2 linked regions of the Macaca fascicularis genome follow. The protein of the gene in region 1 binds, or shares a complex with, the protein of each later gene. Links are inferred from orthologs where the notes say so. Each region holds a gene or a part of one and is shown in the gene's direction. Other genes may lie near its edges. The genes, in order: NCOA6 and KDM6A.

Region 1 (4,405 bases):
GTGCGGTGGCTCACGCCTATAATCCCAGCACTTTGAGGGGCTGAGGCAGGCAGATCATGAGGTCAGGAGTTCGAGACCAGCCTGGCCAATATGGCGAAACCCCATCTCTACTTAAAAAATATACAAAAATTAGCTGGGTGTGGCGGCAGGCGCCTGTAGTTCCAGCTACTCAGGAGCCTGAGGCAGGAGAATCCCTTGAAACAGGGAGGCGGAGGTTACAGTGAGCCGAGATCGCGCCACTGCACTTCAGCCTGGGCGACATAGTGAGACTGTCTCAAAAAAAAAAAAAAACACAAAAACCACACACACACAATTTAGCTGTACATTTTAAAATAACTAGAGTGTAATTGGGTTGTTTGTAACACAAAGGATAAATGCTTGAGGTGCTAGATACCCCATTTACCATGATGTGATTATTACATGATGTATGCCTGTATCAAAATCTCATGTACCCCATAAATATATTCACCTACTACGTACTTACAAAAATTTAAAAAATACATCAGTGTAGTGTGGGAAAAAAGAAAACAAAAACAAAAATTTTTTTTTTTTTTTGAGACGTGGTCTCGCTCTGTCGCCCAGGCTGGAGTGCAGTGGCTGGATCTCAGCTCACTGCAAGCTCCGCCTCCCGGGTTTACGCCATTCTCCTGCCACAGCCTCCCGAGTAGCTGGGACTACAGGCGCCCGCCACCACGCCCGGCTAGTTTTTTGTATTTTTTAGTAGAGACGGGGTTTCACCGTGTTAGCCAGGATGGTCCCGATCTCCTGACCTCGTGATCCGCCCGTCTCGGCCTCCCAAAGTGCTGGGATTACAGGCTTGAGCCACCGCGCCCGGCCCAAAAAATTTAAAAAAAAGAGTGAAAGCCAGATATGAATCCAGGCCTGTATGACAGACGTCAAGGCCAGTGCTGAGGAGGCCTTTCTACATTTGGGAAGTGGGGAGGGGCCACACTCGTTCGATCAATAATTCTATTTCCTGAGCATTTTAGCTTGCTAGGGAGGTAATGATGGGAAAAAGAAGAGAGGGATTTAGAGGCAAATAATAGTGAAAGCTTTTATCTATATCCCATTAAGCTTATTATTAGACACTATGTGTCAGGCACGGTGACAAGTGCCTTCCATGCCTACCTCCATTTCCTCCTCACAAGAACTATGATTTTCCCCATATTTCAGATGGGTAAACTGAGGTTTGGAGTTGCCATTTCCAAGGATACTCAGTGCGCTCGCAAAAGGCTGTTCGGTGTGTGTTTCCCCAGCGGGACTCACTGGCGAGAGAATAGCACTGGGAAGCCGACAGAAACCCACGAGATCCCAGCATTAAGCTCACAGCACCCAAGCGAGCTGGCGCGCACTCCACCTCGCGCTCCCGGGGACGTCTGGTCACGTGGGCAATGCCCCGCCCCTCGAGTCCGCCCCGCCCCCTCTGGCGCTCCCTCCCTCTTTCCCTCCCTCCCCCTCCCTCCCCGGCCCGGTCCGGCCCATCCCCCTCCCCGCCGGCTCGGTGAGGCCCTGCCGGGTCGGGCTGCGGGCGGCCGGGCGCGGGTGGCCGGACAGACGGGCGCACGCGAGGACTGACGGACGGACGCACGGAGGGCGGCGGGCACGCACGGCCGGGGCTGGCGCTCCAAGGCCCGCCCGGGAGGGCTGGGGCCGCGCTCAGGTGAGACGACGGCGGCGCGGGCCCGTAAGGGGTGGGCCCGCCGGGTGTCCGCGGTCCTTGTCGGGCTGGCTTCGCGGGGAGGAGGCGCCGCCCGGGCCCGGCGCGGGAAAATGGCGCCGGGCGACCGAGTGGCACGGTCTGAGTGCGGGCCCGGCCCGGAGCCGCCCCGCCCGCCGCGCTTATGTCCCCGTCGCCATGTTGGGGAGCGGGCCCCAGGCCTGCGGGCGGGGGCGCTGGAGGGAGCGGCGGCCCGGCGGGGTGGGGAGGGTGCTGGGCGCTGGGGCCGGCGCACTGAGGGAGTGCAGGGCTGGCCGGGGTCTGCACGGGGTGGCGCTCCAGGCCCGGGGAACAGGCGGGAGCCAGTAGTGGGGTCGTGGTCAGGGTCGTGGAGAAGGAACACTGGATCCGAAAGGAACCAGGATTGGGGTCCATGGGCTGAGAGGATGGCAGGACGTGGAACTGGGTTAGGCCTTAGGCGGGCTTAGGGCACTAGTGCAGGTAGAACCTGGTGATTGGGGTGGAGGCATGGGGGCCAAGCTTAGGCTGTCAGGGCTGGAGCAGTTCTTTGCGGGGAGGGAAGGAGGTGATGGATGAGGAATGAGGGCCCTTTGGGTACAGACGCTGGTATCAGATTGGGGCAGTCCTTGGGGTACTGGGGCTGATTTGCAAAGCTGTATAACTCCCAAGGCTCTGAAGACTTACGTTCCAAGCATCCTCCACCCCCTATTGGGGGAAGCAACAGGAAAAAGGAGGTGTTTGATGAGAGAAAAGGGGGACAAAAGGGGACTGAGGTTTGGGTGCAGGAGCTGACCGGCAAAAGAGGCACAGAGAGTGGAACTGGTTGGCAAGAAAGGAAAGAACCTTTATCAACTTAGGGAATTGTGTGTGTCTTTAAAAGGAGGGACCCGGCTGTTTGGGGGCGGTGACCCAAGGTGTCTTCCCTGGAAGGGGACAGCCCACAGCTTAAGAGCAGGGTCACCTGGAGAGGTCATCCGAAAGGCGTTATTGAAGCCAGTAAAATGGTGAAGAAGAGTGAATGTATAAAAACTACAAAGGCCTGAGAGATCAAGTAAAGATTTCAAATCAGGTAGTGATTTTAGCTGAAACAGAAAGGTAAAGTTGACTTTTCAAGATCTTACAAGTTAGTAGCAGAGGGTCTACTGGAAATGGTCAGCTGCCTGCTCACTAAACACATTGCCTTAAAGGAGTTTGCTAGCTGGGAGAAAGGTGTTAAGAAATGAACCATAACATTCTTGTGATGAAACTAAAAGCAAACAAACAAAAACAATAAGAAGTGAAGCGTAACAGTATATACCAGATAACTATTAAATTTGTTTTGTTCCTTTAATGACTTTGGCAATACAAAGGCTGAAGGGAATACAAAAGAGGGTAGGCAGCCAGTTTTTTGGTATTTCCTGGCTCATCTCTAATTGTGCAAAGTTGTTGTCTTTGAGACCTTCTAACTTTGTAGAGTTTTAAGAGATGCTCCGGCCAGCCATAGTGGCTCATGCCTGTAATCCCAGCACTTTGGGAGGCCAAGGCGGGAGGATTGCTTGAGCCCAGGAGCTGGGAGACCCCATCTCTACAAAAAAATAAAAAAAATTAGCCACCTGATGTGGCTTGTACTTTTAGTCCCAGCCACTCAGGAGGCTGAGGTGGAAGGATCGCTTGAGCCTGGGAGGCCAAGGCTGCAATGAGCCGTGCTGTGATCGTTCCATGATATTCCAGCCTGGATTACAGAGTAAGACACTGTCTAAAAAAAAAAAAAGAAAAAAGAAATACTTCTTCTCTTCTAGGTGTTTACCACAAAGGGACACAAAATCCTAAAAAAGAAAAGTGAAAAATTGTAAAGACCCAGAGTGTCTATTTTGTTAATTGAAGTTGGATCATGTTAGAGAAAAATTCAAAGTTCGCGTGGGCTATGGGAGAGTTCTGAAGGAAATATGCAAACTAGTCATGGAAAATAGGTCCAGGGCCCCATATAATCAAAGAGAATTAATGAACAGAAAGGTTATGAGGGCAAATATAAAATAAGATTGTCAATACCATATGTATATACTGCAACACAATTCATTTGTTCTGGGTTTTTCTTTTCTTTTTTTTTTTTAATTTGTGGAGATGGGATTTCAACATGTTGCTCAGGCTGGTCTTGAGCTCCTTAGCTCAAGTGATCTGCCCACCTCGGCCTCCCAAAATGCTGGGATTACAGGCGTGAGCCACCTGGGTTTTTCTAATGAAGGAAGACCTGACCTTATCTGTGCCATGGACCCCTTTCAGAATAATATTTTTTAGTTGTATAAAATAAAGTACATTGAATTATAAGGAACACCAATTATATGGAAATATAGTTTCCAACATATACAAATCTAATATTCATATACTTGTTTTTTTTTTTTTTTTTTTGAGACGGAGTCTCGCTCTGTCACCCAGGCTGGAGTGCGGTGGCCGGATCTCTGCTCACTGCAAGCTCCGCCTCCCGGGTTTACGCCATTCTCCTGGCTCAGCCTCCGGAGTAGCTGGGACTACAGGCGCCCGCCACCTCGCCCGGCTAGTTTTTTGTACTTTTTAGTAGAGACGGTGTTTCACCGTGTTAGCCAGGATGGTCTCGATCTCCTGACCTCGTGATCCGCTCGTCTCGGCCTCCCAAAGTGCTGGGATTACAGGCTTGAGCCACCGCGCCCGGCCTCATATACTTGTTTATCAGCACATTAAGAAATCAGATTTAGTGATGGATCTGATAATTAC
Region 2 (2,994 bases), on another chromosome or scaffold:
AATAAACCTGGTCTGTTAAAGAGTCTCAAACACAGCCATGTTTTTCTTACCACCTACTCTTAACCAGAGATCACTGTCCACAATTTCATTCAAGTAGAATTCCATGATTATACTAAAGCAGTACAGTGAATACCACCATCTCTATTGAATACGTTTTTCTCTTGTATAAAACAGGTGGAGGTTTTTGATTTGCTTTTTGTCACTAATGAGAGTAATTCACGAAAGACCTACATAGTACATTGCCAAGATTGTGCACGAAAAACAAGCGGAAACCTGGAAAACTTTGTGGTGCTAGAACAGTACAAAATGGAGGACCTGATGCAAGTCTATGACCAATTTACATTAGTAAGTCAAATCAACATGTGAGTACATAGTTAGCTGGGTTATGAAGCAGCAGTGTTTGTTCTGCCACCTGATAAGTAGGAGGTAATGAAATATTTTAAATTTCCCTTTGGCTCATTACATATTGCATGAGGGTGTATTCATATCATTCCCCCCTCCATTTCCAAGTATTTATTCCTATAAAATTGGCATATATCATTTTCAGTTTTCTTCCTGGGTAAGACCAGCCTAAATAATTTTACAACAATTACATTTAAAAATCTTCACGTGCTTTAGATGGAACACTATCATATCCTTTATGTCATTTTATCTCAGTTGATAAGTTGATAAAATGTTTGTGTACGTAGGTTATTAGAGCCCACAAAATGAATCAGTAAATGTGCTTTTAAATATACTTCTGCTTTTAGAGCTAATTGTATTTGTTTAAAATTTTGTCCTTGCCAGAAGTATTAACCTCATGGGAATATTTAATGGAGCTTAACTTCCTGGTATGTTATATAACCTTATGAAATTCAAGTATACTTATAAATTGCACACAGTTTTTAATTTCAGACAGCAGATGCTTGGGGGAAGCATTTTACTTTAGCAGATCAATAGCTTTATGAATAGAAACAGAGATAATTTATGAATTGTTGATTTTCTCCAGTACTTGTCTCCCACACATATGTGATCAGAAACTAACTTTTTGAAATTTAGTTTCTGATATTTTCACTTGAATAGTCTTCAAGATTGCTTGAAGAAGAAAATTATCTGGACTATGTTGAAGAAAATATATTACCTAGCTGAGATAGATTCTGAAGACAGTCACTAGTGAAATTGTAACTTGTTAAATTATTTTTCAAGAAGCCCCCCTTTTTTTAAGCAATCTTAAGAAACGGTAAACTTAATAACATTCCAAGAGTTTTTGACTAATTGGTGAAGAAATATAGAAAATTGCAAGTACGCTGAGTAGGATAATGGTCTTAGACTCTTAGGAAAATTGGCTGAATGGGAGATAGTAAGGTAGGTTGTACTTTTATGTTGTGTAGCAGGCTGGTGAACTTTTTGAGAGTTATTTCCCCTGACTTCATAAGCAGACTATATGTTTGTAGCCATGAGCTATTAACAATTTGTATATCAAAATAACCTACCTTACTTTTATTTTCAGGCTCCTCCATTACCATCCGCCTCATCTTGATATTGTTCCATGGACATTAAATGAGACCTTTTCTGCTATTCAGGAAATAACCCACTTCTGCACCACTGGTTTTTGTAGCTATCTCGTAAGGCTGCTGGCTGAAAACTGTGTCTATGCAACCTTCCAAGTGCGGAGTGTCAACCAGCTGGACGGGAGAGAGTACTGTTCCTACTCCAGGACTCTCACAAAGCTCATCAGCTGTACTTCACAAAAAAATAATAATTTCCATGTTTTGTATATATCTGACAAAACTGGCAACATCTTACAGACTACTGACTTGAAGACAACCTCTTTTATATTTCTCTATTTCTGGGCTGATGAATTTGTTTTCATCTGTCTTTTCCCCCTTCAGAATTTTCCTTGGAAAAAAAATACTAGCCTAGCTGGTCATTTCTTTGTAAGGTAGTTAGCAATTTTAAGTCTTTCTTTGGTCAACTTTTTTTTAATGTGAAAAGTTAGGTAAGACACTTTTTTACTGCTTTTATGTTTTTCTGTCTTGTTTTGAGACCATAATGGTTACACTTTTGGTTCCTAAATAAAACATTAAAAAAATTAACAGCCAAGTCACAAAGGTAATGGATTGCACATAGACTAAGGAATAAACTTCAGATTTGTGATTTTTGTTTCTAATCTTGATGTAAATTTACACTATTTATAAATACATATTTATTGCTTGAAAATATTTGTGAATGGAATGCTGTTATTTTTTCCAGATTTACCTGCCATTGAAATTTTAAGGAGTTCTGTAATTTCAAACACTACTCCTATTACATTTTCTATGTGTAAATAAAACTGCTTAGCATTGTACAGAAACTTTTATTAAAATTGTTTAATGTTTAAAGAGTTTTCTATTGTTTGAGTTTTAAAAAGACTTTATGTACAGTGCCCAGTTTTTGTTCATTTTTGAAATCTGATTATATATATTTTATATATACTTATGTATGTATATATAATATATATAGAAATCTGGATATATATGTATAAATATTTAGAACTTAAATTTTTCTCGTTTTAAGTTTCACATCTATGGTAGATTTTTGAGGTGTCTACTGTAAAGTATTGCTTACAAAAAGTATGATTATTTTTAAAGAAATATATATGGTATGTATCCTCAAGACCTAAAATGTCAGACTGGTTTATTGTTAAGTTGCAATTACTGCAATGACAGACCAATAAACAATTGCTGCCAAAATGTAGTATAATAGTAGAAAACAAATAGTGATTGAACTTAAGATTTTAAAAGGAATGTTATATGGGCTTGACAAATCCTGTACATGACTTAGTAACATTTTATATGGAAAAGGGGATTCAGGATGAAGGGCTCTATTTTAGAATGAAAATAAATTAAGAGACTTATTTTTTAATGTTAGGCAATTTTGAAATCTCATGCTTTTTTGCTTGCATGACATGATTTGGGGGAGGAGTGCTGCAAATTCCCCATCACTAGTAAAATATAGCAATCTATATTAGCGTTC

What was found.
Region 2: NCOA6 (region 1) and KDM6A share a complex: the UniProt entries of both Homo sapiens proteins name them as parts of the MLL2/3 complex. The link is inferred for Macaca fascicularis from reciprocal best matches to the Homo sapiens genes NCOA6 and KDM6A.

The regions. Positions count from the first base shown.
Region 1 is NC_088384.1:90,870,933-90,875,337, reverse strand, and holds the start of NCOA6 (nuclear receptor coactivator 6), read left to right. Parts: upstream 1-1,475; 5' UTR 1,476-1,660; intron 1,661-4,405. UniProt on the Homo sapiens protein: Nuclear receptor coactivator that directly binds nuclear receptors and stimulates the transcriptional activities in a hormone-dependent fashion. Coactivates expression in an agonist- and AF2-dependent manner.
Region 2 is NC_088395.1:45,166,009-45,169,002, forward strand, and holds the end of KDM6A (lysine-specific demethylase 6A), read left to right. Parts: intron 1-174; coding exon 175-345; intron 346-1,489; coding exon 1,490-1,519; 3' UTR 1,520-2,360; downstream 2,361-2,994. UniProt on the Homo sapiens protein: Histone demethylase that specifically demethylates 'Lys-27' of histone H3, thereby playing a central role in histone code. Demethylates trimethylated and dimethylated but not monomethylated H3 'Lys-27'.